Coturnix japonica: one gene and its partner. The protein of the gene in region 2 interacts with the protein of the main gene of each other region in a biochemical or structural test. Links are inferred from orthologs where the notes say so. Each region holds a gene or a part of one and is shown on either strand. Other genes may lie near its edges.

Region 1 (6,817 bases), on a different chromosome or scaffold from region 2:
AGTACGATGCATCTGTTAAGACAGAAATAAGGCTATACAGGATGATTATGAAACCTGACAGAAATACACATGAGAAAGGCATTGCTTGTTTGATTTTATTCTTCTTGGGGTTTTTATTTGTTTTTGTTCTTTTTTTCTTGGATGTGGAGTCAGTTGACTTTTAGGTACAGCAGGTTTTGATCAATAACTGATTTCTTCATCTTATTTTGGAATAGGCAGTGTCCAGTGTGCTCTTCTCAGCAATGTTGGAAACTGCAGTTCATCTGTCTGAGCAACACTGAATCCCAAGAATCTAGAAAATGGATTTTTCTTCAGGATTTGTGTAACAGAAATTCCTCTTACTCTTGTTTCAAGCAAGGCATGGCCTACAACCTTAACTCCTCTGTTGAACTGTAACCACAGCAGTCCCCTTGTCAGGGTTCATCTGTAACTTTGGGAGATAAGAAACCTCTTAAAAGTGTATGTGAACAGAAATATAGGGGATATTCAGAAGATTCTTAGGAACTTCGCAACAAATCAAAAAGGAAACAAACAACTGAACCCTCTGTTGATGGACTTTGACAGATTTCATTTATCTATTGCCAGTTGCAAACTGTCAGTGGAGACTAACATATATCAGAATTTCAAATGCCATAGGTGATATTATTTCTCACTACTGTCTCATGTTCTCTCTCTCCGCTTGCAGACAGAAAGCAACCACAACAAAGGGCAGCATCTGTATTGCATTTTGCATGGGCATCACTGTCTAATTTTCTTCCATACTTGAATTTAACAGCGGGGAAAGATTGTCTGCTAGGAGGCTAATCTGGTCAGACTATGAGCAAAATGATGTAGCCTAAAATTCATAGGAGCAGTTAGACTTCTGTCTGTGTTGAGGTACCTACATGCCTTTCTAAATGTGACTCTGAATGCTTCTGATTCCCAGTTTCATATTGGAAACTGCAAATAATTTGAAATTAGATGGTATTCCACTACTTCATTAGGATATTGGGATGCAACTGCATACCATGAAAACATCTAAAACAGGGAGGTTAATAAGTGCCTCACAGAGAGCTGCTGTTGAAAGACAGTCTTGATATCTGAATCTCAGAGCATCCGTTCATTTCATGTTTTTCTTTAAGTATGCCCTATAAAAAGCAAAAAGTGAAAATGTTGTGATTTCTGTGTGTGAAACTTTTTCACATGGTAGAATATGTACCTTTACTAGAAAATAATGGAATTGTCTCTATAACTCTACAGTGATCAAAATTCCATATTGTTAAATATAAACAGTTTTATGGTAATAGTAGGAGATTTGCAAGGAAGGGGGATTCATTTACTTCTAAGAAATGTCTGACCTCTGCTACTTCATAATCCACTAGAGAGAGCTAAGGTCCACATAAGCTGGCTTTCTTTCTCTTTTACCTGGAAGGCATTATTTTTTCAATAAATACCAAAATCAAGTCAATATTTTTAGAGCTAGTTTAATTGCCACTTGAAATAGTCTAATCTTTGCTCTGAAGTTGTCTGATACTTTGTATCCAATGCCAGTTGGACAAAAATAATTAAGATGTATGTATTTGATAATTTAAGAGGAACATTTGAATGGGTTATATAAATAATAGACTAATCATAGAGTTGTCTAACCATTTAAAATAACATAAACCCTACTGCATATACTTTTATTTGAATTAATGTTGCTGTCAGAATTTATGAGAGATTTTTGAAAAAGGATTTCATTCTCACCTTATGGTTAATGCTCTCATAAATAATAATTTGTCAATTCTGTAAGACAATATGTACTATTAAGTTGTTCAGTGCACCTCTTTGCAATAGAGGTGCAAATTTAATATTCTGTGTAATTGCTCAGAATAAAACTGCAACTTTCCAGTCTCATTTTCAGAACTGCCAAATCATACTCTAACTCTCTAACTTTTTTTTTTTTTTTTTTTTTTTTTTTTTTTTTTGATTTTTTTTTTTTTTTTTTTTTTTCCTAAAGAGAATAAATGGCATTTAATGTTATGTAGAACAGACCTGGGACTTTTCTTTTATATGCAGTCTTTTTCTGCATAAAGTATTGTGTGAGTACGTCATTGATAACTGACCAACAAACAGTAAAAATACAAACAACGTTAAAAGAAACAAACAAACAAAAAAATTCATGTTTTGCCCCCAAAACCAATCTGATATATTAAAGGTCTATTAGGAGTTGTATTCTAAGTTGAACACGATGACTCCTGTTTGTTATTTTGCAGTTTGACTCTATCTCCTTGCACAGAACTTTTATTCTTTTCTACTCCTGTGTAAAGCTACTTTAAGTTTGTATGAGTGAGAGGGAAGATACATATCTAGTGGAATATTTGAGATGAAAGTTTATATTTATCTTTAATTACAGTTTGAAATTTGTTTTATGTGATCTTGTATATACAAACCAAAATATCCAGAGAGCAAACAATGGGGAACTGTACCGTCTTTGTATGTATTTGTGCCTGTATCACATTGGCGACAGTCAAGGCTGCTCTCTACTTTAAAACTGACACAGCTATATTTGTTGGGCTCCAGTAGCACTCATTAAAATGTCTGTGACAGCCTGGCATCAGTAGAATATTGACATGGAAGCAGCCACTTCTTTTCATCTGCTGTCACTGTCACCTGCTCTGTAGTCTTCAGGCTGAGCTTCTCAGACTCTGTGTAGGGTATTTTTTTTCTCCCTCTGGACAGGAAAGTAGGGCCTCTGCATGTGTTTAACCCCACATTTTTGCAGGATACTATTATTTCTGCTTTAATTGACGGCAGTTTTACAGGAGAGTGTGTCCCAGATGTGATTACTCCTAAATGAAAGAGCACCAGTGTTGGACTTGAATGTTTCCCATCCAATTACCAGCTGCCCCTTCATTTTATTTTGGAAGATTTTTCACTTGAGTGTGGGGTTTCCAAATGAGTCTGGTAATCCTGGATTTTTTCCGTTGTTTTTACAGGTGACCTGTAACTGTTTCACCATCAGTAATGGAGAGATGCAGGATGTTGGTGTTGGCCTATATCCCAGGTACCATGGACACTGTTTCATTCACAGGCAAAATCTATGTTAGGTTTTTCTTTTTTCCCTCTTTTCCGAGGTAGCTATAAGCACCATCAAAGCAGGTAACATGTTTAAACAAGAAACTGGCAAATGCAAATAAATTAGAAGAGAATAGAAAGCAGTCATCAAATTGAAAGCATTCTTAGAAGGTTCTGATTACACAGTTAAATAGGATGTGTCTTCATACCTTATTTTTATGGAGATTGTAGTCATTTTTAAGTAACAATAAATGCTAACATTATAAACATGTTACTAAGGCTTCCTAAATAATTGAAAGGAAATATGTTCTGTGCTGCTTTGAAGGATACATATTTTGCAACCAAGAGCCTTCTAAATTGGCAATTAAAAGAAAAAGATTGAATGTGTTTATTAGTTAATTACCATACCTAAGAAAGTAAGGCAAAAAGGTAAACCCCTTGAAAAATGGGTATTCAGATTCTTGTTTGTATTAGTTAATAAATATGTAACAGGTAAGGCTTTGCCTTCATAGAATTCTGTTACTGTAACTATCAGTGGTGAACATGAATAACTGAACATTTTACCTTACTATATTAATTTATTTGTGTGAATCTAGGGTTGATTTGTATTGTCAGAATCTAAAGGGGCCTGTTGCTATTGTTTCTTTCTCTACTAATGTCATATGTGCAAGATTTGACTAACGGCACGATCTTGAGGCCTGCTTCGTGATAAAAATAGGAGAAGAACTGCTATGAGGACAGAGAAATTAATGTTATGAAAAGCACAGGACAGTCATCTGATTTCAGAGGGAAATGGAAACAAATCTTTTCATATACTTTGGGGAAAATGAACCTTATTTTGGAGCATTATTATTAGTTAAAAGCTTTCTAAAAAGCTTCTGCCTGGTAAGGAAGTTGCAGTGTTCTTTAATGGTGCCTTGCAAAAGGGTGCTAAAGTTTTTTTTTTCCAGTTTAATTCAGAGCAGATGTAATTTTGCTGTTTCAAATCACTATGAGTTGGGAAAATTGTGAATTTAAGTCCGCATCCTCCACACGTGTGCCCCGGTGGCGCAGTGGTAGCAATGCCGCCTTGCAACACCAGGGCCCGGGGTTCGAATCCCCCGTGTGGCGCAAGTGGTAGAAGTGCCGCTCTGCAGCACATAGGCTCGAATCCCGGGAGTTGGACTCGATGATCTCTAAGGTCCCTTCCAACCCGCACGAGACTATTACTTATTACTTATTACTTATAGTTCCCAAATCCTTGGCAAGTGCCCTTCCATCCAGAGTTTAAGGAAGGCAGATTCAGACATGGCTTCTGTTTGAAGATAGACATTGGTAAACAATAACTTTTCTCCCCTAACCAAGAGCAGCTCATCTACCAGGGATTTTATTTATTGATAACTTAATTGCTTGATATTTAAGATGTAATATAGTTAGCTACTTCCAAATTATGTCCACAGTAATGACAGTATATTAAAGTTTTTTTTTCTTTCTCTCCCTTTACCACCTCTCACAGCATGTCTTTGCTGAATCACAGCTGTGACCCAAACTGTGTGATCGTTTTTGAAGGATACCAGCTTTTACTTCGCTCCGTCCGAGAGATCCAGATTGGCGAAGAGGTAATTAACTTGTCCTCTCTTCCATCACAGACACCTGCAACAATGACATCTCCCTAAATAAATTCCAGACTGCAGGGCCACCAGCTTAATATTTTGATGATATATTGGTGCCAATTTTTAGCACGTAGCTATCAGGGAGAAAATGATTAATAGAATCATCTCTTCACACTGCCTGGGCCCCATAATCATTACTTCCCATAAATCACTAGCAGTCTTGATAAATTCTTGTTTCTCCTTTCCTCCTCTAGGCACTTCATTTTGTTTGTGTTTGAATGTCTTTACCCTGATGGAAACACTTAGAATATTTGAGTGGAATGTAGTGTTCACCAAATCGTTGCAACAATAAGCATTTGTCAGGCTGCAGCTATGCTATAGTAGTAAACCTGTAATTGGCAGCAAAAGTAGCAATGCCAGGTTTGTTTTCTTGACATTTCAGTGGGAAAAACTTCAAAATACTTCTCACAAGAGATTTCAGATTCCAAATTATTCACAGCTTTGTTTTTAAGACAGCATTTGTTTTTATTTTGAAAGCAATTCATTTGTGGCTAAATAAGAATTTAGATGTAAATGTTTGTCAGAGAAACGCAGTGCAGAATTTGTTTAGTAAAGCCTGCGAAGAGGAAATATATAAGTAAATTGCTATGTAACAATGACCTATGCAGTTCTAGCCCTTAGTTATTTTATAATCATGACCTCTAGTAAATACGGTTTGCATCAGTGCTTTGATGACTAGGAAGTTCAAGGACTTACATATTATAATTGGGGAGCAGTATCTCTTCCTCCCTATAAATAGTTGTTGATCTTTTTGTTTTAATCCATCCGTTCTCTATGATCAAAATATGTAAATGGTGAAATTTATGTTTAGGCAAAATACTGTAGAGAGCTAACACCAAGCTTTTGCTTGCTTACTTTTTCTGATGAGAAATTTTATAGGATGCAATATATTTTCACGGAGCCGGTGAGTGTAGCCATTACTTTGTCTGGCAATCTTGTTCAAGCCAAGTTATATGTACTTATAAACACTATTCATTTATCTTGACTTACTGATTCACAAAGATGGGTTATGTATTTAAAAATACAAACAGGCTGTAGTGTCTCCCCAGGGTGTTAGTATGTTAGTATATGTTAGTATATTTGTGCCTCAGTCATACTTTAGAGGATTGATGCTATACACAATAATTATACTGATCACCACTGAGAAAATGGATGCAAGAACCTAAAAAAAAAAAATAAATTCCTGATGGAAGTTGTTCCATTTCTTTTTTGGTCTTGTGTCTGGACAGATGTTGGCCTTGTATGTTTTTCACATGAGGACAGGTATCATTTAATGGGTTTTAATTTAATTTTTGTGCGGCATTCGAATTTATTCAGGGTCAAAAAATAGGCAGTAGGAAGTTAGGACTCATAAGGCAGAAGAAAATTTTGTCTTGAATCCCTATAAAATAAAGGTGCTAAATATGATGGTGTTGTGTATTTGGAAAACCAATTGCTTATAAAATCACATGCAGAAATTCTAGCCTCTTTGGTCCTCTTTTGTGGCAAAGGCATTGTTAACAGTCTCGAAACACTAAGAAATCACGAGTCACAACTATTAGTTTTTATAGGAATTTAAACGTGTGATTCATGTATAATCACTGCAGATTAGAGCTGAAGCTCTAATAAAGCAAAATATGCTGCTGCAGGGATCATCATAAACACCGAGAGCTGTCAAGATGGAGAATCGTCTGTTCCTTGCGTTTTGCTTTGCAAGATAGAAGTTCAGATTAAACATTGGGTATATTGTTTGGATTTTGTACTACAGTTCTATTAAATTGCATACTTTTTGAAGGCAGAAAGTTCCCATTGGCTTCCACCAGTAATTTTTTATCTTTTTTATTTTTGTTGTTGTTGTTGTTAATTATTATGTCTAGTTGGTAATTTACAGACAAACGTAAATTAATTTTGCCTACTCTCCCATCAGAAGTTGCATAGCTGTGGTTAGTTTAGTGTGTAGCTCAAATCAATTAGTCGTACTCAAGAGACAGGATGTATGAGATGTATGAGTTCTGCTCCAAAATGTGTGCATTGCTTCATGTCTACTTCAGAGTACAGCTAGAGCAAATTTGTATATTTTCTGCTGAAAGCCACATAACATGCAGTCCTCTTAAGTTTTAGAAGCATATAAATAAAATTTGTAAGTTCAT
Region 2 (6,817 bases):
CCAAGTTCTTCCAGCGTTAAAATTAACTCTCAGAACCATGTGATCCCGCTTAAATTACACAAGGCAGAAACTCATTAAACTGCTAACATATAAGAACTTAGAACTCTCCGCTGCAAGTACCTGTAACGTAACAATGGATCACAGAGGAGTAACCTTCTCGTCCCCTGGCTGCATGTCTGTTTTCCCTGCACCCTGAGTCAGTCAGCGGTGTCGGAAAAAAAAACACACAGTTCCTGACTGTCCAATCACTTCTATTATTTTTCCCTCTTTAAATAAGGAGCAAATATGTACTAAAGTGCTTTATCTACATGAACCACATCAGTACATTATAGAAACAAGGAGTTCTAGTCCCGGTGGGAGCAGGGAAGGGAAGATTCTCATTTTAGATACAAAATTTAGATTGCTTACAATCTAAGTGAAACAAAGATTCAAGAGAACGCCTTCTCTCTCTTGTCTTTTTTTCTCCTTTTTGTAAAAAATAAAAAATAAAAGTGCAGTCAAATAGAAAATAAACGCAGCAGACGCAAGCTGAGTTGAGGCAGGCTGTTAGTGATAGTGTGCAAACGTGTGTCTTAGCAGTTCATCTGCAAATGGTCGCAGCTTGGCCTCGATAAAAATCCTTTTCAGGAAATCCCGAGCATGGTCTGAGACATGAGGTGGTAACTGGGGATTGGTTGGCTGAGTGGCAATCTTAAAGATGGCAGCCATTGCTTCAAATTCTGCCCACGGGGGCTTCTCAGTGAGCATTTCTACCACTGTACAACCTACGCTCCTGAAACAGAGGCAAAAGTGAGACAGCAGGTTACAACAGAGTTGCGCTCTTCTAGGAACACAAGCAATATCAAGTAGATTCTGAAGTACCACAAGAAGCAGCGTCCACTTATCTCTACAATGCAGCTTTGATGGAAAGCAGCTCTTCACTGTCACTGCGTTAAGCAAATCACTACCCGTGCATCTCCAATGCATTGCCTCACTGGGCCAAAAGCTGGTACCTCAGCGAAGAACTCAGGAGGTATTTATCTCGGCACTATTGATTGTGTGATGGCCACTATCCTGATTGACATCTCAGTGCTCAGCAGGCTGACACAGCCCTTCATGCAATGTTGCTTCAAAGAATTCTCTTGTGATCACTAAACCAATGGGCTCATGAAATGCCAAAGCAACAGATCCAACATTTCAGTGTTACACTCTCCAAATGCGTAAATAGGATTGCCAGTGCTCTCACGTGTTATCTCTTCAGCTTAAACCTCAGAATAAAACACTCCAACTTCAGGTGACAAACACTCACATTCTGCTGAGAAACCACCCGTTCTGAAATCATGAGTTTTGTTAGAGAAGTTTTGTAACATACCAGATATCTGCTTTCCTGCCGTACCCTTCTCCACTGATAACTTCTGGACTCATCCAGTATGGAGTTCCTGTGACGGACTTCATCCCAGTCCCAGACATACAGATGGTCTGCAGTCGTTTGCTGGCACCAAAGTCACCCAGCTTCACATTGCCCGCTGAATCTCGCAGAATATTTGCTCCTGGAAGGAAAAGAATGCAGCTTTGGTGTAGAAAGCAGCATTAAAAAAAGCTTCAGATTCAGTTCTGGTGCTCCCAGAGAATTTCTCTGCTCATTCCTCTGTTTGGAGGTTGAGTAAAATGAACTGTTATCTGCCTTTTGCATCCTAGGCCTTCCCCAGAAAGCTTCAGTTACTTTGTAAAACCCTGCTGATAAAGAAACACGCCATGTGAGGGCAGCAACCTGAAATAGGAATTTCTCTTTTCACACTACAGAAAAGGCCTCAATATGGTACTAAAGCAAAATCTCAGACTGTGTTGTAGACTTGCTTACAATACTTACCTGCATAACAAAAACATCACCTTTCCCCATTCTGGGGGAGGAAATACATTGCTCATATAAAGCAAAAGGAAATCCCTAAGAGTTTTGGAGGATACAAAGGCTGTTCTACACACCTATTTTGCACATCACCACCATCTTCCTACATATTTGTAACTTGCTTTTGCAGCTCTTACACGACCTCTGTATCTATCAGCAAGAAGTACATCGATTTCCTGGCAGAAGAGTGCAAGCAGTGTGACTCACTGAGGTCGGGGGAGTCACCTCTGCCAGGCATTTCTGGAATAGTGAAAAGCTGCAGTTTCTGTGTAGCTGATAGAAACAAAACTCAGTGACAACTAATAGTTTCATGTCTTGATGCTTTCCTCTGTATATTTCAACCGCTTGTAATGATCTCCTGGTGTATTCAAAGCTACTTAAATTCAGAAGGAGATTTTATTATGAATGCTTTGCAGACAGACTCTAGGGAAACCTTTTCAGAAGTCTGTTAGAACACCCTGAGTTTACAACAGCAACAAGAAGTAGAAGAATCATTATGGCTTTCCATCAAAGTCAGCATTTTGGTATCTCAAACTTAACAAAGTTTTAGCAATTCACACCTGGCTGACAAGACTGGAAAAGAATCTGAAGTAAACAGCACCCAACTGTGCCCAGGACTGCCCTCCTTACCTTTAATGTCCCGATGGACAATCATGTTTGTGTGCAAATAGAGAACTCCTTCTAAAATCTGCCGCGTGTATTTGCGAGTCACATTCTCTGTGAGTGCTCCATACGATTTTAACTGGTCTTTGATGGAACCCTATGGCAAACAAGCACAGAACACTGTAATGTAGATGTAGTTTTGTGTCCCTTAAAAAAAAGAAACAAAGCATTTACATAAGAGGCTGAACAGAGAAGTCACGCACTACAATGTTAAGCCGTTAACTCTAAAACTATCGAGTAGCTAAACAGCAACAGTGTGTTGTACAGGAAAAGGACACAGAAGGACATTTTGCACAAACCACAACAATCCTGAAAAAGCAAATGAAGGAGGAGACATGGAGGGACTGCTACAAAAACCTGTTGGTACCCAGCTATTGCTTTGTTTTAATTCAGGATTTCCTTAATATCTGTGTGCCCTTCTGTAAAAGCTGCCTACTTGAGTGCCTATCACACTACATAGAAATGATGAGTGGATGGGTTTTCTCGCTTACCCCTGGCATATATTCCATGAATATAGAGAGTGTTCTCTCCGGTGGGTCCCTCAAGAAGCCGTAGTACTGAACGATCCTCTCGTGCAGCAGATTTTTCAGCAACTGAATCTCACATTCAAGAGCATTTACTTCCTAAACCAAACAAGCAAAAAACAACAACAAAATCAAACACATTCGTTGAATGAGGATTTGCCCAATAATTTTAAAATGTGGTGTGACACTGGAATCAGGTTCCCAAATTAGTTCTTTTCAATTATTAATAAAACAGGATTCCTAATGACAACATGGAAACGTGTATTAAAACAAAGAAGGAACAGTTCAACTTATGTCGCAGCACGTTCGCACTGTACCTCATACCTTGCTGGTTTCTGGACTATCAGGATCAAACTGTACTTGTTTAACAGCCAGTTCTCTTCCGGTATCAGCATCGTAACACAGATACACTCTGCCAAATGCACCCTGACCCAGCAGTTTGCCAAGTCTCCAATTAGTTGGAGCTCGTGGTGCTGAAAAGGTAAACAAGATTTCTGTTTTAATGTCAGCTTGTTGTTCAGCTGATTAAAGGAAAAAACAACGCATAGAAAACAACTTTTTCAAGGGCCACCTTTTTCAATGGAAGATCACACTTCTCTATGTAATTTACAAACATGGATAAAACTTTCTGTAAGATGGGAAGTTTATTACAAAATAATGAATTTCTAGTAAAGATGCACGTACTTATGCAGCTGGTAACAGCTAAGCTGCAAAACAGACAAAGCACGTTGAGCAAACTTAGTCACACTGTTTTAAAAATGGAGGCCTAATCAAAACCTGCTGACTACTGCAATCATCACAAGGTGTATTTGCTCCTCCACGGTCATACAATACCAACAAAGGCCAACAAGTTACTCCAACCTACATAAGCCTTCTCATGTCCTCCAAAGGTTAACATGTTGAAAATACTTCTATAGTGATTTATTATCATAGATGTTTATTCCATGCAAAAATCTAAATGCAGATTGGCACAGCAAGCAAAGAAAAAAATACAGAGCATGAACTCTTGACTTTTTCCTATTAGGGAGAGAACAACATACAGTTCGATCACATTTCTTTGGATGACATGCTTAGTTTTGACATGACACATTGAAAGGTAAGAGTTTTACAGCAGAGGTCACAATGTTCCTTAACTTACAGCGACTGGGTGGGCTGATGTCCATGACAGTCAAGGTAGGATTGTCAATGTCACTCCCCCTCCTCCTCATTCTGTTATCCTCATACTCTGGTGTGAAGACGCTGCTCCCACTACTGGTGCTCAGTGAGTGATCAGTGGGACTGAAACTAACAGGTGACCGGAAGCTGTTCCCCTGCGTCCTCCTGGCCCTCGGAAAAGTTTTACGACCTTCAGTGTTACACAGAGAATACCAGTGTTACACTACAAGTTGACATCTCAGTGATGCCCAGGTTGGTATATTCATTTTTAAAAGAAAATAAGTAAGAAAAAAAAAATTGAGTAGATAAAGATCTACCCTTGGAATCAACAGGAAAACCACAAAACAAACATCATCAACACTGCATGACTCAGCGATGGAGACAGCATTGGAATAAAAAAGGACACTGATATTCAAAAAGGTAAATTACATCCAGATGCTTAGAATAACATCAATATATTTAGATAACAAACACTTTTAGGTCAGCACAACTTGGTGAATTTTCATCCCGGGGAGCTTCGGCATAAATTGCCAAAGGAATATCTGAGTCATTAAGTATTACACCAGAGATGGAGCTCCCAGAGGACTGAAGAAGGCAAGTGAAATGTCTTGAAGGAGTGGACTCATATTTACACACTAGTCAGGCCAATTTCAGTGCTGCGATAAATACATGAACAAATTATTGAGCAGTGTTATAAAATCACTGAGAAGATTATGTGATAAAGCAGCCAAAATTGATTTGACACATAGCTAATCCAATGTACCCATTTCACGAGGACGTTTCCTCAATCCAGCTCATGAAGTTTTGGCTGCCATGAGACTGAAGAGAACTAAAAATAAGGGCCTTGCACAAATGCTTGAAAAAAATTTTAAGGAATGTATCAAGGTTTGATAGAAGAAAGTTGAGGAGAAACAAAACAGATATTTGTGAGACTGAATTTTACAAACAGGCAGCACTTATTTTTCAACTCTGTTACAAAGGAGTAACTTGTTACTTGTTGTACATGCACCGTTAAGATTTCACCAGGTAGATTTTCTTCTTTAGCTGTGAAGAGGAGAAAAGCAAGTTAATTATGTAGGACTCCTACAGCATTCACACTTACCGTCGTTGTAATCTTGTTGATGATATGAAATATGGTACCTTCGGGGATAAGTTCCCCCCTTGCCAAACTTCTCAAATATTGGGATATCGTACTCTACTAGAAAATACAGAGAAACATTTCACAGTTAAAAACACAACCAAGGCTTCCATGTCAATCATTCTGCTATTGTACATTTAAACATGGGGAAGAAAACAGAAAACAGAATACTGCAGAGCAAAGAATATTACAGAACAAAATGCACACAAAACCAACAAATCTAACTCAAAGCTCTGAAGGATTTCAATCATCTAACAAAAATTGTTTGCCATCTCCTGCTTAAAACAGCACCAGAGGATGGCAGCGTGCCTTGTTACTAGAGGCGTTAGTAGAGACCTACTAGAAAACAACAGCTCAACAGGAAAAGTGACAGAACCTCAGTTTAGTCTAAAACTGAAAAATGAGCAAATACAGAACGCTGATAAATGAGTCAACACATCCTCAATTACTAAAACACAGCCAATAAGTTCTCCTTTCTGATTTATTAAGTATTGATATTTAAGGGGAAACTCCTTCCTGAATAAATAATTGGTTAGAAAATGAGCATATAAGATGGCAGCAGTGGTGAGTAGTTCCACAGGAATCTGGGCTACAACCCATGCAGTTTAACTGCACATGAACTCTGCAGACAGAGCAACAAATAGCGAGGTGACAAAATTATTTTATAAATACGTTCTATTGAAGCACGTCCATAAGGATACCTGAAAAAACTTTCAAGGTCACCCATTGCACTTGGTGTCCTGAATCGTGCACAGCAATTTGGATTCAAGCCAGAGTGTGGTATGAAAGCAATGTTAGTGGTGATGACTCATTAATTTATAGGCACAGCAAACTGCTCTCCTTCATGCTCGCACTTTGGAATGCTTTCAGTTACAGCAGTTATGAGCACTTAAAAATGATTCTCTTTCCATAAAGGATGAAACAGCAGCTGAAACATGAAGTAAATTAATGAAGGATTATGTACTCATTTAAAGATGGACACTGCAGTTCACTTTAACCAACCTGTGTGCCATTAGGCCATGCATTATTTGCCTTTGTTTTTTTTCCTCTAGCATCAGAGGTATGTTTTACTAAACACAACAGCACTGGTGTTACACACATTAACTTGAAGAAAACCTTTACAAGATACACCTAATTGCATCTTTCGCTGTATCTATTTGGATTGCACCTTGGTGCTATGTCTTCTACTACCATTACAAGCTTGTGTAAGGTAACACCTCTTAGTATGAGCTTCCCTTTCAAGTTCTATGACTTGCAAGAGAAAGTACTTGGGAAAGCTATTACGGCCAGCCAATTTTGCCTACCTGAGAATTCCTGATGATTATCTGGATAGCTCTGTGCTCTCGGCATCCGAGATTTGGGATAGTTGTCTCTAGAAACGTGAAAGCAAAGTATTTTAAAATGGCAACTACCGTAACAAAACGATCCCACTGTGTTACAATGCTTTATGGA

Evidence for each region. The genes of interacting proteins can lie anywhere in the genome.
Region 1: the proteins of MAP3K2 (region 2) and SMYD3 are reported together in a solved structure, tested with the Homo sapiens proteins (2 studies listed by BioGRID and IntAct, with this or other methods). The link is inferred for Coturnix japonica from reciprocal best matches to the Homo sapiens genes MAP3K2 and SMYD3.

What each region holds. Positions count from the first base shown.
Region 1 is NC_029518.1:30,806,283-30,813,099, forward strand, and holds part of SMYD3 (histone-lysine N-methyltransferase SMYD3), read left to right. Parts: intron 1-2,957; coding exon 2,958-3,025; intron 3,026-4,531; coding exon 4,532-4,634; intron 4,635-6,817. UniProt on the Homo sapiens protein: Histone methyltransferase. Specifically methylates 'Lys-4' of histone H3, inducing di- and tri-methylation, but not monomethylation. Also methylates 'Lys-5' of histone H4.
Region 2 is NC_029522.1:23,180,166-23,186,982, forward strand, and holds part of MAP3K2 (mitogen-activated protein kinase kinase kinase 2), read right to left. Parts: intron 6,738-6,817; coding exon 6,670-6,737; intron 5,426-6,669; coding exon 5,330-5,425; intron 4,418-5,329; coding exon 4,211-4,417; intron 3,546-4,210; coding exon 3,397-3,545; intron 3,172-3,396; coding exon 3,040-3,171; intron 2,646-3,039; coding exon 2,516-2,645; intron 1,530-2,515; coding exon 1,352-1,529; intron 773-1,351; coding exon 547-772; 3' UTR 1-546. UniProt on the Homo sapiens protein: Component of a protein kinase signal transduction cascade. Regulates the JNK and ERK5 pathways by phosphorylating and activating MAP2K5 and MAP2K7. Plays a role in caveolae kiss-and-run dynamics.